Struthio camelus: one gene and its partners. The protein of the gene in region 2 purifies or fractionates together with the protein of the main gene of each other region. This does not show direct contact. Links are inferred from orthologs where the notes say so. Each region holds a gene or a part of one and is shown on either strand. Other genes may lie near its edges. The genes, in order: CECR2, SMARCA5, HMGXB4 and CHRAC1.

The links.
Region 1: the proteins of SMARCA5 (region 2) and CECR2 purify together in Homo sapiens (affinity purification with mass spectrometry; 3 studies listed by BioGRID and IntAct, with this or other methods). This does not show direct contact. The link is inferred for Struthio camelus from reciprocal best matches to the Homo sapiens genes SMARCA5 and CECR2.
Region 3: the proteins of SMARCA5 (region 2) and HMGXB4 purify together in Homo sapiens (affinity purification with mass spectrometry; 3 studies listed by BioGRID and IntAct, with this or other methods). This does not show direct contact. The link is inferred for Struthio camelus from reciprocal best matches to the Homo sapiens genes SMARCA5 and HMGXB4.
Region 4: the proteins of SMARCA5 (region 2) and CHRAC1 fractionate together in Homo sapiens (co-fractionation; 5 studies listed by BioGRID and IntAct, with this or other methods). This does not show direct contact. The link is inferred for Struthio camelus from reciprocal best matches to the Homo sapiens genes SMARCA5 and CHRAC1.

What each region holds. Positions count from the first base shown.
Region 1 is NC_090942.1:70,502,855-70,510,598, reverse strand, and holds the start of CECR2 (chromatin remodeling regulator CECR2), read right to left. Parts: upstream 3,045-7,744; coding exon 2,868-3,044; intron 1-2,867. UniProt on the Homo sapiens protein: Regulatory subunit of the ATP-dependent CERF-1 and CERF-5 ISWI chromatin remodeling complexes, which form ordered nucleosome arrays on chromatin and facilitate access to DNA during DNA-templated processes such as DNA replication, transcription, and repair.
Region 2 is NC_090945.1:34,085,312-34,092,259, reverse strand, and holds the start of SMARCA5 (SWI/SNF-related matrix-associated actin-dependent regulator of chromatin subfamily A member 5), read right to left. Parts: upstream 3,015-6,948; 5' UTR 2,992-3,014; coding exon 2,833-2,991; intron 606-2,832; coding exon 531-605; intron 1-530. UniProt on the Homo sapiens protein: ATPase that possesses intrinsic ATP-dependent nucleosome-remodeling activity.
Region 3 is NC_090942.1:59,909,598-59,917,159, forward strand, and holds the start of HMGXB4 (HMG domain-containing protein 4), read right to left. Parts: upstream 3,014-7,562; 5' UTR 2,767-3,013; intron 2,365-2,766; exon of another isoform or gene 373-2,364; 5' UTR 298-372; coding exon 267-297; intron 1-266. UniProt on the Homo sapiens protein: Negatively regulates Wnt/beta-catenin signaling during development.
Region 4 is NC_090943.1:168,239,760-168,247,793, forward strand, and holds CHRAC1 (chromatin accessibility complex protein 1), read left to right. Parts: upstream 1-4,979; 5' UTR 4,980-5,060; coding exon 5,061-5,195; intron 5,196-5,711; coding exon 5,712-5,838; intron 5,839-6,820; coding exon 6,821-6,966; 3' UTR 6,967-7,876; downstream 7,877-8,034. UniProt on the Homo sapiens protein: Forms a complex with DNA polymerase epsilon subunit POLE3 and binds naked DNA, which is then incorporated into chromatin, aided by the nucleosome remodeling activity of ISWI/SNF2H and ACF1.

The DNA of each region.
Region 1 (7,744 bases), on a different chromosome or scaffold from region 2:
GTTGCCTCACTGTACTAAACCCCCTCACACTTTTCAAGTATTACCAGCAGATCTGCTCAGTCAGGGCAGGACAGGTCCAGATGGCCTATCACTATAGCACCTTCTGACTAAATACGGGCAGAGCTACCAGAAGAAAACAAATTGGTGAGGGGAATAAAAAACAAAACAAGAAATAATAGTTCTATTTTTTTTAAAAAAAAGAAAAAGCGTATTAAAAGATGAGATTTTGTCCAGTTTGGGAACTGCAGTGACCACAGCAGTGAAACTCCAATCCCGCAGTGCAGTAAGGTCTGAGCAACTGAAAAAGCAAGGGGTATTTGTTACATGCACAACTATAGGGTTAGCTTAAGACTTTCACCATCGTAACAATGTTGTAAGAGTTAAGCAAACTCTTCACTGGAGATACACTTATATTAGCATAAAAAGGCACCAACCAGGTTCTTACTTGAGAACCAACCTGGGCCCTCCCCATCAGGGGAATATCCTCCAGGAGCATCCGACTGCATCCCAAGCAAGGCCGGCCTGGAGGGACATGGGGTGCGCAGGTGGACAAACATTTGCTACAAAGCACTTTGAACATCAGAGCATTTCAGCTGAAACACTCTGAAGTGACCCGCGTGAGCTTTCCATTTCTATTTGAATACATCGGAAAACAGGTTCCGATGGACTGGGGCAGTCACCCCCTCAATTACCGCATCCCAGATGAGGGACAGTAACTTTTGACCGAGGGGACTGTAACTTCTCAAACCACTTGCCCTCAGCCACAAGTGTACCTCCTGCGATAACCAAAGCCAGAGTAAGAAAATTTCATCTGTAGATGATCGCATAGTTTCATTTTTGGTGGCTAGCTATTCCCCCCCCCCCCCCCAAATATTGCCTTGGGGGCTGGCGTTCCTTAAACGCCTAGAAAGACGGCCATCTCTGTTCCGTGCAGAAGCCCCTGAAACTCAAAGCCTCTCTCGGATGCACCAGACTATCCTGTGAGATGGCCAGAAGGGACACAGGCTTTCCTAAGTGAGAAACCAAGGGAGAAGCCTTCTTTATGCAGCTGACTAACATACAAATCAAGAATCACATAAAGCAACACCCTTAAAAAAAAAAAGTATTACTTACTAAGTCCCTTTATGGTTTTGTTCCATAAACAGTGTACGCTCTTTGTGCAACACACCATTCCCAGATATCCCTGAAACCATTGATGAGAGGGGAACAACTACACCAGGGAAGAGGTAACAAGACGGTGAACTTCAAGGAAGAGCAAATTTTAAAGCAGCCTGCACTAGACTGCTGATATCACACAGGGAAAGGGAAGGAGATGCACTCTGCACGCCCGAAGACGCAAAGCTATCACAGCTGCATCTGTCCCCTTGCAGCACGCAGATTTTAACTGTGATGTCCACTGGCACTCGTACAAGGCGTCACCCTTTAAAACCAGTCTCCGCAAAACGCAGCAGGCCATCCCCACGCGCAGACGTTGCTGGCGACGTTTTCGGTGGGCTAGTCGTGCTTCATATCGCTCTCAGCCCCAGCCCGTGCGCACGCATCTCCTCTCCCCCTGCGACCCCCAAAAGCAGTTAATTTGTTCCCAGTGATGTTAACTCCCCCACCCTAAGCGTGCTCTAGGAACCAAAGGGGAGCCCACATTTACTTCATTTGTGAAGCAAGCCAGATGCTAATTGCCTCCAAAGGTGAAAGGCTAGCGCCTTGGCCCTTTTATCATTGTAAATTCAGGTTCCTCCAAGACTTTGCGCTGGCGGCCGGAGAGCCTCCCCCTTTAATGGTTTTGCCTCAATAGGAGGGGGAGGGGAGTTCCCTTTCGCAAGAAGTTGCATCATTGAGAGACCTTACCCCCTTTCAAGATTTCGCACTGCATAAGGGATTCCCCCGCTTCAGAAATTCGCATCCTGCTCAAGGCGTTGTGCTCTTTAGGGCTTCGCACATCCTATTGAACTTTCCAGCATCGATGCAATTCGCGTTCCCGGGGCAATTACTGTCTTTAAAAAACGCACGCCACCATGTTATTCACCCGGTTTATTGCCAATGTGCTGGCAAGAATAGCTTTTCACCGCAAGCACAAAAGATTTCCTACCCCGACACACTTTGTTTGCAACATTTGTAGCCAGAGCGCAAAATATTTACAGAACATTAGCCACACGCAAGGGAAGGGAGGGGGGAAAAAAAAAAAAAAAGGCAGCACGGGAAAGTTGCACAAGGAAATTTTGGAAAAAGCACAAAACCAGCGAGTCGTCTCTCCGCGGGCGGACAGATAAGGTGTTCGAGGCACCGCAGCTGGGCTGAAATTTCCCGTCTGCCCTGCACAGAGCCCCGTCCCCCCTCCCCTCCGGTCCCCCCCTTCCCTGCGCGGCGCACAATGAGCGCAGCCCTCCCCGGCGGATTAACCCGCGCCCGCGGGACGCGCCGGCCGGGCTGCAGGAAGGCGGCACCTCCGGCCGCCGCGGCCAGGTGGGAACCGGGCCGCCACGACCGGCCGCGGCGGTGCCCGCTGGGGGGGCACCGGAGCAGGGCAGGGGGGGCGCCGCCCCGCCTCTCGTCGCCACCATTTTAGGCGAGGTTGGAGGGGGCGCGGGGACCCGCGGACCTCCCCCCCCCCCCGCTTTGTGTCTGCGTGTGTGCACGGACAATGCGGCCCCGCCGCCGCGCCCGCTGCCCCGGTCGTGCGCCCCGTTTCGGGGGGGGGGGGGGGGGGAGGGTCCTGCCTGCCGCCGCTGCTCCGGGACGGCGGCACCGAAAGTTTTGCGAGCGCGCCCGGCGGAGGCGCCGGAGTCGCCGCCGGCCGAGGGGACACCGGGGAGGGGAAGGAGGCGGAGGAGGGGGGGGGGAGAGGCGGAGGTGGGAGGGGGGGGTCTCACCTCGATCTCGAAGTCGGGCAGGCGGAAGGCGGTGCGGAAGAGCGAGCAGAAGTGCGCGATGGCCGGGACTTCCCACCAGGAGCGCAGCTCGTCCAGCGCCGCCGCCGCCGCCGCCTCGGAGCCGGCCGCGCCGCCGCCGCCGCCGCCGCCGCAGCCGCCGTCCTCCTCCGGGCACATCTCCCGCGGCCGCCGGCTCTGCCCGCCCGCTCGCTGCCTCACTCCGCGGGCGGCTGCGCGCCGCCGCCGCCGCGCTCCGCCCGCCCCCCGGCGCCACGCCGCCCCGCGGCCGCCCCCCGGCGGCCCCGCGCTGCCCCCTCGCTGCCGCCCGCCCGCCCGCCCGCGCGCGGGGCCGCTCCGCGCTGGCGCGGGGGGCGCTAGGGCCGGCGGGGGCGCTGCTGCTGCTGCCGCTGCTGCTGCTGCTGCTGCCCCTGCTGCGGGCGGGCGGCGGCCGCCGCCGCGCCGGCCCGCCCGCCTCCGCCTCCCCGCGCCGCGGCCCTCGCCATGCACCGCGGCCGCCGCGCCGCCGGCAGCAGCAGATGGGGCGCCGGGGGGGGGGGGGGAGGGGGCGTGGCCTTTGGGTTGGTGGGGGGGGTAGCCTCAGGCGGGCGGGCCAATAGGGAGGTGGGAAGGACGCCGGTGGGGCGGGGCCGCGAGGGGAAGGGGCGGGGCCGAGGTGGGAAGGGGGGAGCCGCGCGGCCGTGCACGAGGAGGGGGTGGAGCTGGCGCTCATCACAACAACAGGCCCCCCCGGCGCCCGCCCGGGCCACGCCTACCGGGGGGGCGGGGCGTGGGGCGAGGCGAGGGGCGGGGGCGGCCGTGCGCTCCGCGGCCGGCGTGAGGCGAGGGAGCGGGGCGCCTCTCGGGGCTGAGCCCCTCGGAGACACCTCGCAGCCCTTCCTCAGGCCCGGCTGGCTTCCTTCCCCCGCCGCAGGGGAGCCCCGTCCGTTACTGCCGCCGACACGGCTGCCACTGGGGCCGCTCCCCGCCCCGCCTCAGCCCTCCCCGACCTCCCGCCTCAACGGTCGCCTCAACGGCCGCCTCAACCGCCACCTCAACCGCCGCCGCCCGCCCGGCCTCCCTGCGGGCCGTCGAGCAGCCCAGGGCAAGGCCTCGGCTCCCCAGGCGGCCCGGGGGCACCTGCCCTGCAGCGGCCCAGCTGAGCAGCGGCCAGTGTCCCCCAGCCTGCCATGTCCTGGCCGGGCCTCCAGATTTTCTGTTCTCGCTTTATATTTGTAAGTGAGGGAGGCCAAGTGGCACTTCTCGTTCTCCCTGCGTTGCTGCGGCAGAAGGAGTGGGGAGCCCCTCTCTCTTGAGGTGCTTTAACGTCTCACCCGGGTGCCCAGTACCTCCATTTCTCCTGGCCCTGCAGTGAAGAGAGTAACAGTGCCCCGTTTGGAAATCTGTTAAGAGAAAAGCATTCAGCAAGAATTAGGTATTACCTTCTTGCAGGACGGACTATAACAAGGTATAGAGATGTAATGAAATACTACGCTGGTAACAGCTTTGTATGCTGACCCTGTGTTACGTTACAGCTGCTCAGTTTGCCTCTACAGTCCAGCTTCAAACCAGTTGCAAAGTATTACTGTGCACAGCTGTGCCAGCTTAGGATCTTACCTCCAGTGAAACGCTTGCAAAGACATGTTTAACTACAGTTTAGGACTCCTTCCTCTCCTTCCTTCCTCTCCTTTCTACCTTCATCTGGCTGGGGACGTTTTTATACCAGCACTACTTTTCCTAGCCCTTCCTTTCCTTTACTCTGTTAACTTTCTCATCTTCAGCCTCTCCTCTTTCTGTCTGGCAGAGGCTGACAGGCTGTTGCTCGCAGACGTGCTGGGGTCCGTGCAGGAAGGCACACCTGAGATACCTACAGCCCAGGCTGAAGCCTGAGGCAGTGTAGCATTGATAATGCCTTCAAATCTTGCCTGTTTGATATCCCCAAATGTGTTCTCAATGAATGCTGGAAACGTGGCAGAGGTGTGCTCTGCCCCAACACTTGGAGTCCCCCAGCAGGCTCGGCTGAACGCCTTAGGGCATGGTTTCCGTTACCCCCAATCCGGCTTAGGCTGCCCCCAAAAGGAGCATCATTTTTACGCCTTCTGACAATATCCCTGCCCTGTCCCTTGTGTCAGAGTTAGCAATCGTCCGGCTGCTGGGTGATGTGGCTCACTGATCTGACAGAAGGCTGCCTTTTTTTTTTTTTTTTAATGATGGTGACAAAGAATTAGTTTTCTCTCGGATCAGCAGAAGTGACTTGATTAATCCCCCCGCCATGTGGTCACCAGCACTGATGCAAAGAAGCAGTGAAACGCCTGAGAAGGGACGGAAGGGAGAGTACAACCTCCCCTTTCAGGAGTAGCCTGAAGACAGACTGGATCAGGCGAAGGGGAAATCACATTGCAAATATCCTGGTCTGTCTCTGGTTTGAAGGCATAAGCGAGGGAAAGGCTGGTAGCATCAGCTGGCAATGGCATTGTTGCTGCTGAGTTAATACCAGCTGACATAGAGCAGCCCATGGCTCTCAGAAATGTGATTTCAAACAGTCTCAAGCATCTATTTTTGATATTTTTTAGTTTCCTCTCCCTGTTTCTTTTCTAAATGGAAGTTGACAATAGAGAATAAGAAGAAGGTATGAGAGCTGTGCTGTACCAGCTGTACACGTGTGACCACGTGTACAGCTGACCACGCTGTACCAGCCTTACCATGAAAACTTTGGCCAAGGGTAGGAACACTTCATTTAGAGAAGAAACAAAGATGCAGCAGTTGGGCTGTCAGCAAGAATAAACAATCTCTGAGTTCATTGCCCTTTTTCATATTGCAGGATCAAGGGATACCCAATGAAATTGGAAGGAATCAAGTTTAAAATGGTGCAAGGAAATACTTGTACTGTGTACAATTAACACACAGTATTTGTTACCATAAGGTTTCATTGAGGCTGGGAGATTAGCAGGATTCAGAAAAGGATTAGACGTTTATATGGAGACTAAGAACATTCATGGTCACATTAGACAGGATATAAATAAATTTTAGGAGGGATATAAACTGTCAGGCTTCAAGGCACAGCATAACCACTAACTGATGGTGAGGGATTAGGGAGAAACTTCCCTCGTGGCCAGGTTAGTCTATAACTGTCCACTACAGGGTTTCTCGCACCTTTCTTCGAAGTATCAGACAGCAGCAACTGTCAAAGTGAGCATACTGGACTGGAAGGGCTACTGGTCTGATCTGGTATGGCAATTGCTCTGCTCTTCTGTGGGTAGGGGCTGCAAAGGTTGCTTTAGCAATGGAGGGGCGATGAGGATAAATAGTGATATGGGCATCAGTGGTGCATGGAGCAGCATCAGGCACTCCTCAGGGTCCAACCCCCTTCTCATTTGCTGTAAATTCCACACCCACAACAGAGAACGTCTCCTGAAACACACGCCGTCAAGCCAGTTTATAATTTACCTTTCTACGTACAGTATTTGTGTCTGTTTTCCCCAAAACTACTTTAAAAAAAACCTTTTGCCTTTGACGACTTATTATTTACGTGAAACCAATATGTTGTACTGAAATCATGACTCTATTTCCAGATGCAGTGACTCTGAGCCTTGGTACTGAGCAAAGAAGTGTCTGATCTCTTGTGTATTGTATCTGCCTGCACTGGATTAAACCAGCTTCAGCTAAGATATGGTAATCGCTAAAGAGGAGTTTGCAGCCCAACATGAAATACTTTAACAACACACAGTTCAGACCAGTATAAAATACCAATAGCTCTGCGTGAGAAATCTTTGGGTCACAAACCCTCAGACACAGATTTCTGTGGGACAGTTAACTGCAGTATTACTTGCCTTTCAAATAATGCTGGTTCTTCCACTGAGCAATCTTTTTGTCCTGTTGCTATGTAAGGGGAGTTTATGTTGCATTTATGTCTTGCTCTGTCTTGACATTCCTCCCTGAATTCCTGTAGTGTCCAGCTATGGCTTATCTTATTGCTGCATCTTAGCTTGTTCTTGACACTAGGTCAAATAGCTTTGTAGTATCCCCACTTTCTATCCCATTAAGAATTTTGTGAATCTTAACAAAGTCTCCTAATCTCTCTTTTTTGTCAGAAAAGCTACAATCCTAATTTCCCCTAAGATTTTTTGAATTAATTTGGCTCCCTCTATCGTCCCCGTTCTTTCTGTCCAATTGTGTCTTCTCTTATATTGTTATCTTTTTATGCAAGGAAGCTGAGAGCCGCCCATGATTATTTAAGGTAGATTCACTTTGCCAGATTCTTACACTGTTCTTAAATCACTTCCTTAGATTTATTATTCAAACACAGAAATCTCTGCTCTCCCTCTGCTGCTGAACAGAGAGCAAAGGCCTGATGAATGCAATCCAGCATTTCCTCTGTGATAAATATCTCCATTCTCAAATCCTGTGTGGTTTTTCCCCTCCATGCCACCTTTGGTTTTGAGTTTCCTGCTCATAACCAAACAAAACCAAAGCCTGTTGTGACCAGGCTTCTTTCCTGGTGTGCTGTAGTCCTCTTGATCAATACTTATCTAGGCTATTGGTTAGACTTTACCTACCTACTGATTTTTCTGTTCAATATCCACCCCGGCTGTTCCCCTCCCTCCATATACGTTCCTCCCTATCCCCATGTTCTCCTTCTTCCTTTCCCCTCAAACGGGCCATCAATTGAATGCGTATACCGTGTAGAGCCGCACTGTGAAAGAACTCTGGGGCTGATGGAGCAAATCAAAGCTTCACGTTTTTGCTGCTCAGCATTGACACTGGGTTTCTGTGCTGCTGTTCCTTTAAGAAAAATGCCAAATTCCAAGTGCCAAAAAACAAACAAAAAAGTTCATAGGTGACATAGGGACTGAAAGTCCCCTTTCCTGTAGGACAAAATC
Region 2 (6,948 bases):
TGATTCTGTACATTAAGAAAGTAAGGTAGTAGCCAGTTAGGACAGACCCTTTTCTAGATGATCTTTCGATTTCCGACCAAGAGAGTGAATATTCAGCTCTTCATAATCCTCCTTACCCCCAGGAAGGACTTACTCTACAGACAACTCCAAAAGCGACAGCACAATTCCTATTATGTTTTTTTCCCCGAGGATGTCTGAATACTTCCCATTATCCCATTCTTCCTAAATCTAGAGCGCTGCAAAACTCCTAGGTCCACACTTACTAGAACCAACAAAACACATCACCAGTTATATCAACGTATCACTGCAACGGAAGTAGAGAAGCAACAGAAGAACAGAGAACAAAACACTAAAAAGGAAAAGAGATTTTCTATTTTAACTGTTTTGGTTTCAAATTACTTAAATGTTTTTTGAAAGACTAGACAAAGACCTATAAATCCAATTAACAGATTTCAAAAGAGCTGAACTCTATGTTTTAAGCAACTGCGTTAAGTGCTGGATAGATGTACGCATTCCCAAACGTTACATACCATTTTCTCTTCATATGTAGGATCTGCTTCTGGGATTTCTTTTTGTTTTCCTGGTGATGCATCATCGAAAGATTCCTGAGGGGAAAAAGAATTAGAAACAACTTATTTTCTAACAATGCTTACAAGATACTCACATAAAGGCGAATAAGCTCATTACAAATTGCTACCTATACACATCGGAGAGCACATCCACCTTCTGTTTCTTTGGTATAATCACGTTTCTATTATATGCTGTAAAATTAACTAGGCCATGCATCAGTGATCCCTACCGCAGAAGGGGGGACAGAGCTAGCTCTCTATAATCCAACTCAGCCCCATCATTGTAGCATCACATGAATGGAAACAAGAGAGCCAGCTGTGGTCCAGGAGCTCAGCAGGCCACTTCCAGGGTGCTGAGACAAAGCCCTCCTGAAGCTGCCTCTAGAAAGTACTGTGAAAGAACTAGCTCTGCTCCTGAAGCAACAGCAGTTTCAAGTTTCTTTCCAGATTACCCCAATCCTACATCACTCTGTACCCGGTGAACAACTCTACACAAAGAGTTTGAATTACAGTTTTGTCCTGGAAGCAGGGCAGCATGTTAAAGAAGCTGTACTTTCTTCCCTCTCTTGTTTACTAAATCAAGTAACTGTTGTTACCACCAACAGTATTACTGTTACCACCAACAGTATTACTGATAGCAGAAAAACAAGTTTTAGGGTTTGTTTTTTGGCAGTCCTTCCTCATCCCCTTTCCTGCCCACTCTGTAGCACAGCACCTTCAACTACCCATTCGGGTCAGGATTTTTTTTTGTCCTTCTCTCCTCTTTTTTTTTTTTTTTTTTTAAAGTTAACTCTTTCTCCATCATCTCCCACGTTTAATTTCACCTTCTCCTGTTCTTAGCAGCAAAAACAATGGGACAACCTCACCACTCAACCACGGCAAGACAGTGCTTTACAAAATACTTCTTGAAAGGGTGAAAAGAGGAAACGAATGAGATGCCCACCAAATTATTATTAGACATCTGTTTATTTGAGCAAACTGACAATTCAGCTAAATGCAACCTTTGCTAGCTGATCAGAACAAGCAAACAACTTGAAACAAAGGGAAGCAAAACATGGGCTGCTCATGGAGGGGTGTCACCTCCGGAAACTCTAGCAGGTAAGGCATGTGAAAACACAAGAACCTCCACACAAACGTCTCGTGTGCCAGTCAAAAGATAAAGAACTCAACGTAAAAAATTATGGCTAAAGATCTTCCAGAAATTTTCTCACTCATCTCCCGACGCGTTTATCTAATACTCGTCTTACACTGAGCACAAGAAGGACCGAACTGTTTGAACTCCTCTACAAAATTCATGTTTCTCCTGAAACACCAAACACTTGAAATACTGTAAAAACACATGAATAGCAGTAACAAGCCATCTGAACTCTTCATGTGCTATAAAGACAACAAAAACTTCCAATTTAGCTGAACAGTGAGAAAAACAACCTCTTAGCTGATTAGGGCTACCAAGAAGCCATTTAAACTGAAACTTCAGTTTATGCACGGCAACCCCTTCCTCAGGTAAAAGGGGGATTAACTCTGCAAATACAGGAAGAACCCTCACACGAAAGCATCAAAAGCGTGCATTTCACAGCTTCCACGCACGAAGCCTAGCCTGAAATTGCCTTATTTTTACAGGTTCAAGCAGGACTTTTTACCCATAGTGCTTTAGTTCCTTGCTCATCTGAACCAAAAAAAAAAAAAAAAAGCATTAGCAAACTGCTTTAAATGAGGTAGGTTGGACTGTACAGCATGACTCAGAGTACAAAACACCCAGCACTAAGAGCTGGACCAACCAGTTTCCTCACATCGTTAAAGGAACAATGCTGCGATAAAATTAGCATCTCCAGGCGATCACACTCAAAACCCCTTGAAATTTCTGGAATAACCACCTGCCGCCAAAAAAAAAAAAAGCAGAGAAACAAATGAGTAAAGCTATTTACTTATTCCAAGCAAACCCCCGCCCCGCGCACGCAAAGTCCGGAGCTACGGCCGAGCGCGGAAAACACCGGTGCTTTTTCAGGGCAGTAACGGGCTCGCTCCTCCCGGCGCGGCAGCGCAGGGCCGAGGAGGCAGAGCAGCACAAGGGCTGCTCGCCGGGGGGCCGCAGGCCGCCCGGGGAGGTCGCCCCGCCGCCCACCGCGCTTCCCGAAGCGAGTAACGGCCGCGCCGCCGCCCCATTGTCCGCCGCCGCCGCCGCCGGCCTCGTGGCGGGCACCTGCCGCCCCCCCCACCCCTCCCCGCGTCGCCGGGGTCCCCCCGCCGGCCGAAAGCGCCTGACCTCCATCTCGGCGTCGGCCCCGGCCGCCGGAGCTGCCGCCGCGGCCTCGCTGCTGTTGGCGCCCGCCGGGGGCGGCGGCAGCGGCGGCGGCGGGGCGGGTGGCTCGCCCGGTGGCGGCGGCGGCCCCTGCTGCTGCTGCTGCTGCTGCCCGGCGGACATGATCCCGCCCGCAGACAAAGCTCCGCCGGGAGCTGCGCACGAGGGAGGCGGGCGGCGGCGCGGCCGCCTGAGGCCGGCGCGGGGCGCGCGGGGGGGGGGGGGCGGCGGGGGCGCGCGCGGGGCCCGGTGCGCGGCGGCGGCCGAGGCCCGTCAGCGCTGCCGCCGGCTCGCTCGGCGGGCGCCCACCAACCAGGAACCGAGCCGGCTCCCCGCTCTCGCGAGAGCCGCGCCGCCAGCGTGGGGCGCGCGGCGGAGGAGGAGCGACGCGCGCGTGCGCGCTCCGCGAGCGCCGGCTTCCCTCTCCCCCCCGCCACCACCACCCCGGGCGCGCTGCTGATTGGGTGATTAGATGGCGGGTGGGTGGGGCGGGCGCCCTGTGGCGTCACTGCCGCCTTGTTCTCCTCCGTGGGCGGAAGGGGGGGGGGTGAGGAAGGTCCCCGCGCGGCCTGACGTCATGAGCCGGTAACGGGCGGGCGGGCGGTTGGTTGTTCGCCCCCGGCCCGGCACGGGGTAGCGCTGCCGGAGCGGTGTCCGCCGCCCTGGTACCCCGGTACCGGAGGGCGGGAAGGCAGCTCTAAACTTTCTCATGACTAGTCCACGATACATTTCCCACCGGAAACGAAACCTACAGCGTCCCCAAACCGTTCAACCTCCCACCGCGCCCCCAGCGTTGCCGCAGGGGACAAGGCGGGAGCCAGGGCCGCGCTCGGAAAAGGGAGTAAAAGGGAGCTGAGGAGAGAAGAGAGAGCGAGCTGCGTGTGCTCCTGGGCTCTCCCCAGCGCCCGGGCTGAGGAGCACCACAGCCGCCCTGCTGCGCTGCTGCTGCTGCTGCTGCTTTTACCCGTGGTGGCTTGTAATTAAAAGAAATCAATAAAAATCGTGATGTTACTTCCAAAGCGCTTGGAAATTGTATTAGAGATCATACATCCTCCTGCTGCGTTGCTGGAGTTACAGCCTAGCTTCTCCTCTCTACGGCTTGGGGCACGTTGCAAGAAGGCCGTTGGCTGTTGCTTGAATTAACGTTGGCAAACACCACCTACCCTCGGCGAGGTCGTGAAGGCTCCTTAAAATATAACAGTATCACCATGACATGTTCCAAAAGAAAATGCAAGCAAGACGCCAGTGCTCCGAAAGAGCAGGTCTCACATCAAACGGTGCTCTTTTCAGGTCCGTCACACTGACCCCCTCCTGCGGGAGATGTTCTGTTTCAAGTAAAAAGACATGAATATTCACAGAAGCGGGTGCTAGAGCAAACACCACTGCACTAAAGTCACCTTCCCTCTTTTTCTGGCTCCTTGAACCAGACAAAGCTTGTAGCATCTTTCCTGAGACCCAACGTACTGTCTGCTCCCGTCTTGGAGCCACCCCAAGCTACAGCACCCTGCTTCAGACCGGGACTCCCTAGGGGCATCTACGCTCGCATTCAGTTCAGAAGAGGAGCGCCCCTTTGAAGCAAATCCCATCGTGCCCACCTCTTACCGTGCCATGAACCACTGACCCGAGTTCACATCTCGGAAGCAGCCTGGAGTGCACAAAATGGGAATATTTGGGGATGAAGCAGAACAGGAAGATGAGTTTCCACAGCACCCCTATTGCATTCCCACTGCTAACAGAGGCTGAGGCCAAAGGACCAGACTAGAGCTGGTCTAAAGCAAAAGTTCCCCAAACCGCATACAGTGGGAACACTGGGTGCCCCACATCAACGATTTGCTCTACAAATCTGCTCCTGTCAATCAGTTGCATTTGCAGATATGTCTGCATTAACAACCTAAAAGGAGGTGCTCTCTGCTATGATTATTGTAACATTTCACTGGATTTTATTACCAACATCCTTTGAAATTTTTGGAATTAAAATAGTTTGCTCTCGCATTTCTGAAACATTGTGTCATTTCATTTCTGCCAAAACTACTCAGAATAATGAATTTCAGTTTTCCTAGAACAGAAATTTTCAGCTAATAAAAATGTTACTGACATGTTTCCCCACTGCTTGTTGTCATCCCTCATGACAGGTGAAAAACCCAGTTCCTTTGCCTAAGGCTCTTCTCTGCTTTCAGAGACACAGCGTTTCTTCTTGCATCTCCACCCATACCTTAAGTTTTAAATATATGCAGTACCACATTATAGTAAGTATTCATTTAGTCCCCTGTAGTATGTCAGCATAAAGTTATCCTAGGCTTATGTCCAGTTTTAATCTGCCCAGCCTCAGCTTCTGCCCTCTCGCCTCCTCTGCAGTTGCTTCTGATGATGCAGTACGATCTGCATGGTGTGGCCAGTAGGTAAGGGTGGGAAGCAAGCTATACTCCACCTTCCCCGTTTAGCACTTATTCCTCTCCCCCGCAAAGCACGCAAACAAAACTACAGGTGGAGAATCACTGATGGACTTTACATTCGAAAGAAAAGTGGCATAAAAGGCTGAGGAAGGGGTCAGGCATTCAAGGGGAGTTGTTCCACCACCTTCAACACCTTCTTTTTATAATCAGGCTAAAACTTCCAGGTAAGATCATACTGTTCAGGTGGAGAACATGAGAGAGAAAGCTTAGCAAGACGAAAAGAGAAAATACCACCTCCATCCAGAGGTCATCAACCCTTGGTCAGGGAGGAGCGCTGAGATACTCATGTGCCCAGTATCAGTATCATGAAAGATGAAAATGGTGTTTGTCTCCAGCCAAAAATTGCTTCTCTTCCCTTCCTGGTTACTGTTTTAGCTTTTTCATTTCCCCGACTTCTGAGAAGCTCTGCCTTTGCTATCATCAAGAGAGAATAATTTTTGTTCAAATTTTAAAGAAGTTAACTTGAAAGAGAGTACCAATCCCAAATATTTCAGTCACAAAAGGTAAAAAAAATTGTCACAAAAATATTCCGAGCCAAAACCTGAGTTCCATAATAGAAACACGAAACCTTAATGATTGTTGTCTCTACATCAGAGCTTGGGGGGAAGGAGGGGGAAATCAGTCTTGCAGCTGCATACAACCTGCAACACTGTAGTAGTATTTTTGGATAACCTTAATGAGTTATCCCCGAATGAGATACCAAGTACTTTTTACAGACCCAAAGGCTTCTAAATAGACCATTCACTTCTCAACAAAATTCCCAACTCTAGCTCTATTCCATCCATAATTTCATTATTAAATGTTACTTACTTGAAGTTACAGTGGACCCTATACCACTGCAAGAGTGCAGTCTCACAAGGAGTGAACTCTTCAATCAGAGATTTTAATCGGAAGCTGTTTATCTCCAAGTGAACAGAACCATGCTGTAAAACAGCAGAAAGCTATCAAAATCTCTGCCACACTCAAAGGAAAAGGCTCAACTAGAGGTGAAAACGAAGAAAACCATTAGACTTACAAGTATGGAGGGTAGGCATAATTAAAAAAAAAAAAAAACTCTTGTCAAAAGTAGAAAGGAAGACTAAAAGTTCCAAAGTTTTAAAAGTAGGATGGAAAAACTGATCAAGAAGAAAAGAAGAGGAAGACTTCCAAATTAACAGGAAGATGATACTCAGGAATGCATAAAACCCTAAGAGTCTGAACACGCAGCCTGACTACAAAGACCTTAATTTAAAAGCAGCTAGTAGCGCAAAGCAGCTCCTGACAGAGGTTACTAATCTGCTAAACACCAAGGTACGGACAAACGCACAGTAACACATACAAATCCTCCCCCAGCCAGTACGGAAATCTGAATTGTAAAGACAACTAATTATTAACATGCTTATGAAGTTAGTAAAGAACAGTTTAATTACAGATTTTTGTCAAATCTCTAAGGTGACACGCCTTTTGTTGCTTGCTTGTGTAACCATAACTTTTTCTACTAATATACTTTAGATGACTTCCGGTTAAATAACAAATTGAATTAAAACACCGCAAATAAGAGCTACTCTAAAAGACACTATTAGCTGTACAGCAATTACATTAATAGGCACTGCTGCACATCTATCACCACTGCAAATCTGCCAGGAGT
Region 3 (7,562 bases), on a different chromosome or scaffold from region 2:
GGCTGCAGTGGCAGAGTACCTCGGCAAGGTTTTCACATCAGGAAACATCAGTTGTTTCTCTCAAGTTCTAATCCCAATACTTTACTTCTGGAAGTCAAGGGCTTGGGATCTCGCAAAAACCTGACTAGATTAAATTTAAGGTAATACCCTTCAATGTTCCACAAGAGATTAGCTTTCTCTCCCACTCTCTGACTCCGTGGCCTGGAAAGGGCGGCTAAGGGTACCCTTTTCTGGCAACTCTCTCTGAGATTACGAAGCAGTCATACCTTCTTTCTTCCTGGAGTCATCATAAGCCATGGCGGTCCTGCAGGAGCCTGAGAATGTGTTGCCACGTCTGGGCTCCTTCCCCCGTTCCCGTCTACAGGAAAAGGTCTGAGAAACAGAGAACGAAAATAACCCTCCCAGAAAGAAGAATCATAATGGAATATGGGAAACTTCCTATGAACCAAATGAAGATTCTCTGGAAGACAGTGGGAAAGGAAGGGAATCTACCTCCTGGTCTCTGCGTGCTCATATTTCAGGCTGGATAGAAATTTTTCTTAAATTAACTAAACACAATGGAAGCTGTTTTTCTCTTATTTTAAAAGAGGTAACAACACAACCTCCTCCTTGTAAAATATTCACATCATTGAATGAACTTATTTACAAAAGTATAAAGAGTGTGAGAAAAAAGGCTGTTTGACTTTTAAATGACAAAAAATTGAAACAGAACTTGTGTCAAGATCTTTTTTGTCAGGAGCCAGTGTAGGAAACAGTGTGATGTTTAAAGAGAAATTCCAAACCCTTGAATCTCAGAAGTAGTGAAGGAAAGGAAGAACTCAGGCAGGAATCATTGCATCATAAAAGAATTATTTCTGATCTTTTGAAATAAATATTTGAATAAATATTTGAAGATTTTGGAGTGAAGATGTACATCTTTCTGGTGCATTTCTGATGCATTTCCAGACACTACCACTGCAGCCATTCTGAATGTCAGCTTGGGAGAGGGAGCAGAGGAAAGTATTCCTTTTTTCTAGGACTTTTGCTGCACCCTTAGCCCCTGCCAGCTCATTAAGTTCCAGGTCTCTTCTAATTGAGGTATTCTACTCAGCAGTTGCTAGTATCTAGAAGGATACTGCCATTATAGAATAGTTGCACTCTAGTTCTCTCAGAGTTCTTCAGTCAGTGACCAGCTTAACTTTCAAAGAATAGCCTTCTGATAACTCAGTTTGCACTTAAAAGTGTGTGTTTGTGTGTGTGTGTGTGCGTGTGTGTGTGCGCATGTGCACACATACATCTGCAAGTGTTAAATCACAGAGACCACACAGCTAGTTTGGACTAGCTGATACAGTTATCTCACCATATTAGTTACATCTGAATACCTTGAGTACAGGGAACTTATCTTACCTACGCTTTGGGTATCCCTGCACATACACAAGTTTTATAAATAACTGGCTGATGCTAAAAAACATACAATGTATTTAACATGTTGTGGTTTTTTACATGAAAGAACAGAGCCCCAAATAATTCAAGCTTACAGACACATAGGAGAAATTAATAAGGATACAAGTTAATTCTTCTGTTGTCTAATATTCTGGGAAATCACCAACCACAGTATTTTTATATCAGCATTCTGACCACCATAAATTGTTGCTTGATAAATTGTTGCTAGTGAGCATAGCAATTTGTAAGCAGAATTTATGTATACGCACAACAGCACTGTGCTCCACAGTAAAAAATAATAAATTAAAAAAAAAATCTTGCCACTTGATGGGCTTACAGTCTTGGACCAGATCTTGCAACTTACACACGACAGTAAAGCACTGTGCTCAAAAGGACTAAGGCTTAATCTAGATGCTGGTTAGCAAAAATAGAAGATGGTCATTCATGAGGGGATGACACTAAGAAACTAAGATTCGTTTAGAGCTACAGGCATACCTTTTACTGACTTTTAAAAACTTCACTAAGTTGTCTGGCAGGTATAAAGGTTGCTACATGACAACCCTGCCCAAAGGGGCTTACAACCTAGATCTCTAACCCTGCAAATATAAAGCACATTTTTAACTTGTCTTCTACACAATCTGATTAGGTTCCAGTGCTTTAGATTCTTAGGTTACAGAAGACATCACACAGGCTCAGCGAGGCAGGTCTCTCCAAGTCTCCAGGTCCTTAACACAAGCGCTTGCTGGATCAGGAACACACATCGCTCTTGTGCGAACCCAATAGCACTCTCATGTTTCATCCCTCCAAGCGGGGCTGCACAACTCGCTGGTGACAGATGACGGTACGTGGAAGCAGAGAGGCCAGCAGCAGGGCTCCCAACTTGCCGCAGACGTTCCGTGCTCTCTCAGCGCCAGCCGTGCTAGCGCGGAAACCACGCTAGGACTTTCGGGGCGCGTGTAAGGGGGCAGACGTTGGCGCCCGTCTTTCCACGAGCGCGGCGCCCGCAGGCAGGTAGCGCCCCGGCGCAGAGCGGCGACGGGCGGCACAGCTGTCCCTCCAAGCAGGCCGCCTGGGCGGCCGCAGCCACAGCGCGGCCGGTGGGCCCGGCCCGCCGACCCCTGCCTGCGGGGCGGCCACAGACCCGGGCGCGCGCGCCCGCCCCTCGCCGCCAGCCCCCCGCGCGGAGCCCGGCTGCGCATGCGCACCAACGCCCTCCCCTCCCCCCCCGCCCCAATTCCCGCAACGGCCGCGGCTCGCGCCTTTCCCGCCGCCTCCGTTTGAACCGGCCTCGGCCGCTGCTCCCCCCCGCCCCCGCTCGCCCGCCCCGCCCGCGTGCCCTCTCACCCGAGCGGGCTCCGGCCTCACTCCAGCTCGCAGCTCTGCTCCTGGAGCAGGCCAAGCCTGTGCCCCCGCGGCGGTGGCGCCGAGCGGAGACGGGAGCTGCCAGCCCGCTGGCGCCAAGCGGCGGGCGCAGCTCCGGAGCGCAAAGGCGGCGCCGCCGCCTCACCGCTCGCCGCCGCTTCCCGCCTCGCCGCCGTAACCGTCGGCCGCCATCTTGGAGTGGGAGAAAAGACACACCCCGCCCGGCGCCGGCGGCAAGGCGCAGCCAGCCGAGCGCCGAGCAAGCAGGGGAAGGGGGAGAGGGAGAGGGAGGCGGGGTAAGGGCGCGCCGAGCGTACCGATGGCGCAGGCGCCGGAGGGCGGGCGCATTCCCGCGCCGGGCGGCGCACGCTGCGCGTCCGGTCTCTGCCTGCGCCGACGGCGTTGGCTCCTGCCGCGGGCAGCGCTCGGTAGGCGAGCGGTCTCGGGGGTCTGCGGAGTGCTGCCCCCCGCGCCTTCTGGAGGGCTCGTCCGTTACTGCAAGGGGATTCCAGACCGAGGTTAAAAAAAAAAGCTCAAGAACGGACTGGCTGGAAAAAAAAAAACAAAAAAAACAAGTCTCCCCTCCCCCCCCCCCATGTGAGCTTTTCTTCACTCTGTTCCTTAGCTCAGGAGGTCCCTATTCAACAAACCTCACTTAACTCTTACCTTAAATCCCATTATCTCTACTGATGGAGAAGTCCTCTTTTTATACAGATGCCGGCGGGAGCTCACATGCCTCTTTGTAAGCTGCTGCTCTCAGTCGCGTGCTGTCCACAGCCTACAGTTCCCAGCCATGGCCAAGGTTAAAGAGACTTGACCCATCACAGATACACTGGTTTCCCTGCACTGACAGATCTGCCTCCTGGTCTTGGTCGTGTTTTTTTTTTGTCCTAACAAGTGTGTAACGATGATGATGATTTGAGTTAACTGTGGAACAGTTACAGGAACCAGAATGGCCTCGCTGTGTTGCACTGTGTGCATCTATAGTTTGATTCCAAGTGAGGGGTTACAGCTTCTAATAAATTTCCCCAGCCGCTGTGCACAGATCAATGTCTGCAGGTGCAGCAGCTGTAACACCTCAGAGTAAAACCCACCAACCATGAGGACGTGTGCGAGGCCTGTGCAGGTGTTCTCATGCATGTATATACTCATTCCCGCTGCTGTTTATGCTCTCTATAAAATCTGTCCTTACTTTCCAACCCATAACACAGGAAGGAGTTACGGTCTTCACTAATGGGACAAGCATCTCTCCACAAATATATATCCAGAACCTTTCCAGAATTGAGCACATTGCCCAAGACCTGCTATTTGTCACAGATTACTGATGATGTTTTTAGAAATTCCAGTGATAGGTCCCTACTCTGTTCTACAATGCACTGAGTACAAGAAAAACATGGCTTCTGTCAACAGAATTTTACAGTCTTGAGCTTCCTTGCTGGTGCTACAGACTGTATGGAAACATCGAATAATTTCCTTGAGCAAGTGAGCATGACAGCCTACAGGTCAGGTAGAAACAGTTGGGAGGAAATAAAGTTTTAGCATGGCTGGGGGAGGCTAGGTGCAGCCTGAAGGAACAGAGATACGATCGATATGAAAATCAAAAGCCTACATTAGCCTCATGTCTGAAGATTGCAAATGTTTGATAATGGTAGCTAGTAAATATGTGGGGATGGTATGCTTAATATTCTGCATCCTAGAAAGAATTTCAGCTCCCCTGCAGTTTAATGGTTTTAGCACTGGATGTTTCAGAGGTATTAGATTGTGTCAGTGATTGCATGTGGAGGGGAGAGAGTGAATTTGCAGGTGAATTTGTGAAAATGAGCATATAGCAGGATACTTGTACATAAAGCCACTGAAGCACGAAGCATTCAGATCTCTCCTGCTGAGATGCATCCATGTTCCTCTCCTCCCACAGAATACTAATAATACTAATAACACTAATCATACTACTAATAATATAATGTAATCCCTCATTCTGCACTTTTCACCAGTGCAGAAGGGCTCAGAAAAACTCATTTCAGTCATTCCTATTCCCTAGAGCTAATAAAGAGATCCAGTACAAAGCACTGGCATTTACTGGCTACTTTCAAACAACTTAGCCTTTTCCTTTTCTAGAAAATCCAGGCATCCCTTTAGAATATACACCTGGACTGTAGAGGTCAGGTGGAGAAAATGTCAGGACACATAGCAAATTTAAGAGAGTCACAACCTCTCCAAATGTCTAACACCTGACAGAACTGTTTCTGTGTACTGTTGAACTGGAAAGGTCATCCTGAGGGAACAGGAAAAGCAAGCAGTCCCCATAGTGTCAAAGACCTGAAGTGCAGCATCAGTTAATCTCACGCTATTGTGAGAATATTGCCTATTCCTTTTGTTCAGAACATCTTGCATTCTTGGCCCTACATGCCAGAGAGAGAGGCTGCTAAAAGAATATGCAGTATGTTCCTTCAGTTCCTTTGTCTCATTGGCAAAGACAAACCCATTATATGAAAGGCTGTTGCCCGTGCAGAACATTTTGTGAGGTGGACATACTTATCTTTGATGCAAGATTAATTGCGTGCTAAGGGCTACTGCCCATTAAGGTGACCAATATGGTCTTGCTATTCCTATATACATCCCTATCTGTCCTTGTCTGCATATTTTCTCCTATCTACACTACTTAAGATGCAAATTTCTAGGTTCAGTAACTCTCTTTTTTTTTTCACACTTGTTTAGTACTTAGCCTGGTGAGTTCTCAAGTGAAATGAGTATAAAAATAATTGATAATAACCATGAGCACAAGCCCACAGCCAAGTTAGGTACAAAATTAAATACAGAACTCAGAGCTCTGAGAACAATTACCAGTTCTCCCTGCCACAGTTTGCAACTCGGAAATCTCTCTTCATTTCTGACTCACTTTTCCATACTTTTTTCCTACATTCACAGAGAATTTGGCATTAACTGGAATGGGACCTACATTAAATCCTCTGATCCCTGCCTCTCCACCAAAAGCCTTCTTTGTTTTGCACAGACAGTGCTACTCTTCTCTGTGTACACTACAACACTTGTAAGTTATCAGCTACCAAGCTGCCCTTAAAAGACAGCATAGCATATTACATTTTGGTAGGTTCTAAAAGAAAAAAACACATTTTTAAAAGGCTTATGGGAATGAATATGGAGGAAGTGACTTTAACGTTACAGCGGACTTCAGGTAGAGTAGATATTGGGTACCAATTCACAGAATCACAGGATGACCGAGGTTAGAAGGGACCTCTGGAGATCATCTAGTCCAACCCCCCTGCTCAACCTAGAGCACGTTGCCCAGCATTGTGTCCAGATGGCTTTTGAATATCTCCAGGGAAGGAGACTCCACAACCTCTCTGGGCAAAACGTTCCAGTGCTCAGTCACCCAGTCACCCAGTCACCCAATCACCCAGTCAGTTACCTCGGCCCTATAATTTCACTAGTCTTATTTATAAACAAGGCTACTGAGTCCTGTTTGAATATAAGGACTCACTTCCGCAGAGAAGCAAAACTTCAAAAGATTTGTTATCTGTTTCCGTATTGGGGATTTTCTTAAGTTGCTTCCCATTTGTCTTCAGTTCCTGCAGGAAGCATTCATTTTCTTGCCTTTTCATTTGGGAATAGAGTCACTAATGAAGCCGCAAGCGTAGGTGCATTCATTTGTAACATGAGTGTAACAGTTTGAACGTTCCCCAGAGCCACAGCTTCTGTCACAGTGGACACACGCATTCTCTCCCTGTTCCTAGTGCTGCACCTTCTGTATCCGCATGCGGAGAGAGGTAAAGCTGGGTGGGAGGACAGTGTCCTTGTCCATCTGGTGGGAAAACAATACAGCAGGATTAGTGGAGTCCAGAGGGGAAGAGGAAAGCTCCTGCGTTTGGTTAGCCAAAGGAAAGGGAGGGATACCTGGGCGGTATGTATGAAGGAAAGATTAAAGGCAGAGAATCAGTGTCAGATTTACCTCTTTTCACTGAGGTTGATTTCCTCCTAAATAGCTTCATACCTCAGCACATGCCAGGAAGGTAGGAGTGGTTTAATCTGAGTTTCATGGTGCCATACAAAGCCTATGTTAGTGCTTTTTGCTGGTCAGCTCTCGGTGCCTGCTCCCTGGGGTTCTGACTGGCCTCTGCTGACTAGAACTCCTTGCAGCCCCAGTGCCATGAAACTTGAGGCATTCAGCCTTATCTGGATTCTTGTTTTTCTTTTTGCCTGGATATGGTGATTTACTTCTTTCCTCCTCTCACACCTTAATTCTCTACATCACCGCCTTCCTCTGTACAGGCCGTACTGACCTGCTCCTCTCTTTTGAGAAAGAGTTACATGAAAAAGCCCATAGGTCTGGGCTTCTTTCCTACAATTTTCCCCAACTCCTGCTTGTGACAGAACCACTGCTTCAGCATTTGTCCTGCACTGAGTACCAGATAATATTATAATCTGGAGTTTTACAAGAAATGGAGCAACCACACAAAAAGCTAGAGTTAAACCGCTAACCTGGAAGCTAAAATGTCAGCCTGGCAGCATAGGTGGGTGTATACTTATTGCAAAGTTGATGTGGCCTTGCCAGGCCTGCCTATGAGTGTCCACATTGTGGAGCTGTGGCTCTCTGGTGGGCTCTCCACGCTTTGGTTAGAGGGATTGCTCTAGGATCTATGATTGCCTGTGGGTAAACTTCTCTCTTCCTCTCAAGCCCCTGAGCGGGAGAGTTCTTCACCAGCCAATGCATTTCTTGAAACACTTCTCAGACTTCATGCTCTGTGTTGCCAAGCTAGGGGTCT
Region 4 (8,034 bases), on a different chromosome or scaffold from region 2:
AGATTGAAACGGTAACTTCAATAGCATTAACACTTATTTGAAGATTATGGACAAGCAATTGCTTGGTGTGAACTGGTGTGAATTGATTTAACAGTAATTCAGGGATAATACAGATGAAACTACAAATGGAGCCATTCTGTTTCAGAAAGAATACAAAGGTAGGAAGCTGCACACCCCTTTCGGGAGGGAAGATAGCCATAGTCAAGCTTAGCCAAATTTAGGATGGAGAGGGTAGAGGGTGACAGTTTTAAATAAACAAAGTAATCATTTTTTGTTCACATACTTTTGCCAGGAACGTGACTGGGAGCATTTCTCACAGGAACATGATTGCTACATTTATTTCTACAATAACGATGCAGGTACTTCACTTTGTACTTTGTTGTGGTATCAGCGATACCAAAGCACCTTAAAGGTTTGGGCTCAGCTGAACAGAGCCAATGCTGATCGTTACTCATGAATCTACTCTGTACCCTTGGTTGGAGAGGGGTTCAGACACGCTTTTGACGTAGTTCATCTCAGCAGTCTGTTGTTGTTTCACACTTTTTTCTTGCAAGACAAAAAGGTGATGGTGATAAATGGCTTGCAGAAAGGCAGAGTTACGATTAATGTAAATTGGAGCATCTAATATTTTAGCATCTCTAGGAAATTATTTAGATTGAGGCTGTGTAAACACAGTGATCTAGAGCTTTGACACTGCTGTTAAGCTACTCAGTCTCCTGATACCCTCCAGGTTGTGGGTATATAATGTCCTGCATAATCCCAGGTGGTGGAGCGAGTCTGAAGAGAAGTTACCTAAATGGGCATCTATCAAAATCGGAAATGGAAGATCAGACTTGGCATTTTTTGCCTGAAAACCTGGCTCCCATTCAAACATTTCTGAAGCTGAAAATCTTCATCCTTTCAGCTTTTCTAACGGAGGAACTCCTACACTGAGAGTCTTACCTGAAACTTCAAAATGGTTAGGCATATTAGTGACCACTGTCAATTCAATCATTTTCTATTTGCATTTGTGCATTAACATCTACTTTACCAACGGCTCAGATTTATCTCCAAGTATGATACAGCCTTATACATCCCCACTCAATAACACGTCATCAAATGCCTTCAGAATCACTTTTTTTTTTCCTCGTGCAAGACAACGCTTCTGCTTCATCATAAACTTCGTTATAAACTGTTCTCATTATTTGTGAATGCTACTTCCGTATCGCTGTGCTTCAGATGCCAAGAACACTACTGCAGCATAGTTAATGTCTTTTGTGATGGTATGCATTTCATGATAAACAGCTTTTTATTTTAATATATCTTTACATTTACTGTAGCATGTGCCAATTGCTTATCCAGATACTGCGTTTATGCTTTGCCAGATTGACTTCTGCTTCCTCCCTTGTTCGCTGACTCACACACATTTTTTCACTGGTCCAGCACTTTCCTACTGTTCTTCACAACATAATGGTCAATGTCAATAGTCTTTTTTCTGATTACAGATCATAAATAATTTACTCTCTAATTACTCTCAATGCTCTTAAATGTGCATGGGCTGGTTTTAAAATGCCACTTTGCAACATAATGGTCAATTTTTTTAGCTATGCTCCACTTTTGTGTAAAGAAAATGTATTCGTGAACTTCTTTGGCTTTGCCAAGCAATGTGAATGTGCAGTCTTCATCACAGTCTCTCTGGAATAACTGGAAGAGCTTCAGTGCAGCTAGAATTGCTTCATGCTCTTTCTATAATATATTTGCTCTTTATCCGATAATACTCTAACTTATCTCAGTGACGTTTGGAAATTCTGCAGACACCTTCTCCAGATTCCCTTCCATGGGGAATTGTGATACATCATGTTTATCATGATTTTTCTTTTAATACCATACAATAAAGGAATGATACAGGAAAGCATTTTTCAAAGATACAGCACTCTTTTCTAGTTTCAGGCAGCTCACTAGTACATATGAATGAGTTCTGTCCCTGTTTGAGCAGGCCAACTATTCACTGAGAGGAAGCTTTACTACCACAATAGCTCTACTTCCACTCAGTATAGGACAGGAGAAGTCAAATTGGTAAATTAGGGAGTCAAATCAGTAATTTTCTTCAGTTAGGTTCTGTTTCAGATTCAGCCCATGAATTTGTTACAGTTTTGTTCTGGTTCAGAACACTAATAGTTCATACCAGTAACCTGGGATTTATATGCACTGCGTCACAGATAATGAATTAAAATAGCCATGCTACAGGGTGAGACCGCAGCAAGGAAAATTACCCCAGCCTCCTTTTCTGCCAAAGCTTGCACAATACCTATACTGTTAACACAGTGCTGCAGCATCTCTCCAGTTCCCTAAAAAGGAAACCGAGGTTGAGAAGCTCGACAGAAACTGTGGCATTGCACTGCGCAGGAAGGAAATGAGAGAGAGGGATGAGCACAACGTGTCTAATCTCTTCTCTTTTCCTGGGAAATACGTCCATACACAACCCAGAGATACATATTTAGAGTGAAACAAGTGAGATCGCTGCAGGGAAGCTCAGGTAGGCAGGTGGCAGTGACAAGGAACAATTCCTTACTATGGGACAAGAATTGTAGCTCTGGTCACTCCATTGTGTTTCCAGACACAGCGTAGTTATACCTCACCTGAGGTGCCAAAGTACCTCCACTGAGCAGGTTCTTATTCAAGGCCGCAAAGCACAGCAAAAAGGAGGACTAGTGACCCAAGCAGGAGTAGAAAAGGAGAGACTGATGTGACAGTGCTCTGCAGTTTGTAATTGGTACAAATAGTCTCTATGCTGAAGAGATTTCCACTGGGGCATATTAGTTTTCAGTGAAACTTGTTCGAATTCATCACAAAAGATACTTATTTCAGCTGGGTTCCAAGTCAGGTTTAAAGAATAATTCCTAGTAACAGTGCCAGTTCAGTCCTGATTCAAAAGAACTAACTCTAGTTTGAACTCTACAGATCTGTGGGTGGTTTTTTTTTTTTTTTTTTTAATTAGGAACAGGTTCAGTCAGTTACTGGTACCACAGTAATGCTGCCATTTCAAAACGTACTAAAAAAATAATTATTAAGTGCCAGTAACGTTGCAGTATAATGGTATCCTCAGAGCGTGTACACATCCACTTTGTGTCATGCATTGTGCTTCTGCCTCCTGCGAACCAAATCTGCATTAGCAGTGGGAAGGGAGAGATGCCAGAAGTTTGCTGTGCTCCCACTCCCGTCCTCTGTCAGTCGAACGCCCTCCTCTTCCCAGCACCGTGCTGAATGACAGAGCTGTCCCATGGGCCCTGACTCTGGGAGCAGTGGGTGGGTGAAGGGAAAAGCCTGAGAGTGGGACAGGAGCCAGACAAAAACGAGCACGTCCCGATTTGCCCAGACCACTTTACGCTACATTGTCCACCACTGAGTAAAAGGACCACTGACAGGTGCCTAGCTCCTATAGGATCTACATGGCTCCTAAACCCATATCCAGATGGCTCAACACCATCAGAAATTTTGGTAGTTTCATGGGTAACTTCATATACTGAAATCATGAAAGATACCAGCAGAATTCACTGTCATGGCAATGTCAACTGTTTCCACAAGATGTCACAAGTAGATAAGGATCAAAGAAACTGAGCCTGCAAAATAGCATCATACTATGTTATGCTTCGCTTTAGCTGTAACTGCCACAGAATAGCATCAACAAAGTTGTAACCTCAAGGGATCTTTGCAGTCTAAGAGATTTAGATTGTCTTTAAAGACTAATAGGAAAAGACGTCTCCAAATATTGTAGTGCTGGAACTGTCACATCACCCTTGCACTCAGGTATCGACATGTGCTGAAGATGTTATTTTTCATTAATAACCCAACATCACCTGTATGAAAACCTTGTCCTTATGTACTGGGCAAAACCTGCATCAGCTGATTATATCCTGCTAACAAATTCCCTGCATTTTCAATTTAATACAATTCTCTTTACTGACACTTCCCTTTCTGCCCCAAACTCGACACGTACTATTTCTGCACGCCGTGGAAAAGCCTCTACGCGTCTATTAAGCGGCGATCAAATAAGTGACCTTAGCAGACTTCTTACCAACACACGCAATCAGGCACACTGCTCGTAAAGCGCACTGAAAACTTTTGAATAAAGACACTAAGGAAACGCAAACAGCGCGTTATCCTTTCCGCGAGCGCCGAGTTGCTCGCGGAGAGGCAGAGTACGGCAGGTCTCATCCTCACAGGCACGCGCGAACTTTCCGGTCCAGCCTTATCAGCAGCAAAACCCTCCCTGCCTTCGGTGGGCCTGAGCGGACGCCAGCCGCTGGGAAGCGGGATACGAGTCACCCGAGCAGAGACGCACCGCGGTACGCTCCTGCACAGGCCGAACGTGTTAATAACAAAGACACTGCCCTATTATCACTTAATACCTTCCACGGGCCCTCCGCATCTAAATACCTCCCACGAGCGTCACAGCCCTCCCTCTGACTGTCCCTACAGCAGCTGAGGCGGTATTTAGCCACCTGCGATTACAGATCCGTGAATAATTTGGTAGCCAGTGGCCTGTAATTAGGGTAGACAGAGGCGGGGCTGCTCCCGAAGCTCAAGCGCCCGCCTGGGGCTACGACCCGCGCGGAGGGGCCGCGGGAGGGAGCAGGGCACCAGCCGGCGCCGAGAGAAGCCCCCTCCCGGGCCCGGGGAAGGGGAACCCCGACGGCGGGGCCGGGCCGAGCTCTGAGGAACCAACGGCGCCGCCGCCGCCGCCGCCGCCATCGCCTCAGGGCCCGCGGTGCATCACGGGAAGAACGCTCCTCCCGCGGGAGGCGCGGTGCACGGCGGGACTTGTAGTCCTTCCCCCTCCTCTCCTCGGCGGGCGGAGCGGTGCCTCATGGGATTTGTAGTCCAAGCCTCGCTGCTTAGCCGCGGGGCGCGGCGTTCCCTCTAGTGGCCGAAGACTACAGTTCCCAGCAGGCTGTGCTGCAGAGGCCGCCTATTCCCCCCCCCCCCCAAATCCCCGCCCGCCCGCGGCCGGGTTTGGAGGGCCGGCGCCGGTCGGAGGCCAGGCGGGGTTGGGGGTGGGGGAGGAGGAGGAGGAGGGGAAGATGGCGGCGCGGTTGAGCGGCGGCGAGAACCGGCTGGTGTCGCTGCCCCTTTCGCGCATCCGCGTGATCATGAAGAGCTCGCCGGAGGTTTCCAGCATCAACCAAGACGCTCTTTTCCTCACCGCCAAGGCCACGGTACCGGTCGCCCCTTTCACCTCCCCTCCCGGGCCGGGCCCGGTTGTGAGGGGGGGGGGCCGGGCCCAACGGCGCCGCCGCCGCCGCCGCAGCAGCTCTCGCTGCCTCCCTCCGGCCCTTTCCTACCCGCGCAAGCGGGAGGTGAAGCCTCGCCCTCCTGGCTGCTTGTCGTGTGGGGGGTTTGGGCGCCGTCCGCTGCGGCCGAGCCGCCAGGGCCCGCGGGAGCCAGCGTTTCCACCGCGCTCAGGAAACGAGCCCGTGTGGAGGCCGCCTCCTGCCGCTTTCCCCTCCCGCCTGCGGCTTGCTGGGCTGCGGGAGGCCCTGGCGAGCAGCGCGAGTGAAGTTCCCTCAGCTACATCCTGACCTTGAGCCTTTCTGAAATCCGTGGGACTCTGCGCAGGGCGTCCCACAATACGTACGGTTGAGCAAAGGGCGTTAAGTGGGGATTAACGACAACTGCTACCAACTCTATGTATTAATTCACTGCTTGACTGTTGACTTCGTTTTGATTTTTAGGAGCTTTTTGTACAGTATTTGGCTACCTACTCCTACAAGCATGGCAGAGGCAAGGAGAAGAGCGCTCTAACTTACAGTGACCTGTCTCACACCGCGGAAGAGTGTGAAACCTTTCAGTTCCTTGCAGGTATCTGTAGAGTAATAGTGAATCCAGGATGTAGTTTGGAAAATGAAACGGTGCTGTCACAGAAGCGTTCTGTGAGGACACGATTCTCCTACTGGTTGTTAGTGTCCTGTACAGCATTCGACTGTACCTCATGAACTACATCACTGAAAACACTTCTTTGCAAAAGAATGGGTATTTTTCCAGTGCTGGGAAACTACACAAGGCCTGTTAGTCCTCTGTGTATTGCTCTATCCGTTTCTTAGATGCAAACAACGCAATCTGAAAGCTTTCAAGCCTATAAAATGAGATCACTTTAGGTCTTTCTGTGTCAACTTCTGTTATCCCAGAAACTACAGATGTAAATCTACAAATCTTAATTCTCAAAGAGAGTCATTCTCTGGTTCCACTCCCCCTTTTTAGTGTGTAAGTATATGTGTGCACGCACATATACATTTTTTGCTGGTACTGAGATTTTTGTTTTAACACTTAGCTCAGAACAGATATGGGAAAAGGATATGGGTTGAGGATGAGATGTACCTAGCCCAGTTTTTCTCCGAGCACCTTATGGGCATGCTTTCAGAGCATGCAGTCCTGTTTTGTCACAGGTCCATCATTATTGCCCTGAACAATACCTTCCTTGAGTACAGAAAAACAATTTCCACAGAACATAAATGGGATGGCTATCCAGTTAAATGAGCACTCATTTTTATTTGATGTAAAAGTAAAATGAAGTGATTAGGTAGTAAAGAGAGTGGTCTGTAATCAGTTTTATAACATATATTCCTCATCTTTGATTACTTGTACCTTAAGTGGGCAATTCCCTCCTTTTCTCACAGCTTGTTCATAAGCCAGAGTGAATAATCTGGTTAGTCGCTAAAAGTATAATAACTTTTCAAAATTGCCTCTGTTGGACTTTGTTTCAGTAATGATATGGATGCAACAGTATTTATGAGATAATTTAAGTATTCAAACTTTCTATAGAAGAAGCAATTCTACCTTTCAGATATCTTACCAAAGAAGATCCTCGCTAGCAAATACCTAAAAATGCTTGAAAAAGAGAAGCGAGATGGAGAAGTGAGGGAAAATGACGAAGAGGATGAGGAGGAAGATGATGATGAAGAAGAAAGTGTTGAAGATGTTGGATCTTAAGGCTAATGGAGAATTACTTCATAGTTAATCAATTTTCTGTTGTATAAAGGATGCTATTTTTGTGACTGAAAATCCATATGCTGGATATATTTATACACTGAGCCATCTGCTTTTGCTTTAAGAAGTTTAGAAATTGAACTTTATCCCTGCTGAAGAATGGAATTCTTCTCTCAGACGCATGATGGGGAAAGAAGAGTTGTTGTAAATCTGACAGCAGAACTTGCTCAGACGATTTAAAATGACTTCTTCAGACAATCGTTATCCAAATTTAAAACGTCTTATGGGCAATGCAGCTTTCAGTCCAAAGGCTCTTTCTCCCTCCAACCAGGAGTCCTCCACCACTTTCTCTTTCCTCAGAGAGGAAAATGAGGGGAGGAGAGACTTCTTACGCAATGTCCTCTGCCTCCCTAAGTAGACAATAACTGATCAAACCTTCCCCCAGTTCTCTGGAAACGTGCCAGGGCATTAGCAGTGGACCAAGCCCATCTAAAACAAAACAAAACCCCCCAAAAACCGCTTCTGTAATGCAGCTTAAATAGCCACGTCTGCACAGAAATGAGCTAGAGGTTCAGATCCATTCCGATAGCTGATGTGGCTCTGCGGCCAGCAGTAAAAAGTAGATGTGTTAGATAATGATGTAAATATGTATATCTAGAATCTTTTTTTCTAGTGAAGTCTCTACTTCTGCAATTTGTCTGTGGTTTCCTACCAAAATGGACATTGTTTTAAGTTTATTGAATGTGGATTGTTGAGTGGCAAGAGAATTAGCAACTGTTTTACCATTTGAGCGGTAGAGCTGGATTTTTTCTTTTTTTTTTTTTAAACTACAGAAATGGTGACAGTCCTGTGTAGAACTTTGTATGCAACTTTTTAAGGAAAATAAATGTTTTATATGAAAAGTGACAGTTAATGCAGAGGCTTTCTACAGTTCTTTCCAGCTTCAGTCACGTCCCTGGTTAACGTATGAGCCTAGTATGCTTGCTGTTCATCTTTCCAGAAAGGAAAGGGGGGGGGGGGGGCAAAGAGCTATGCGATGCTTGGAGCAATCGTCTGAGGTGTTCTCTATTA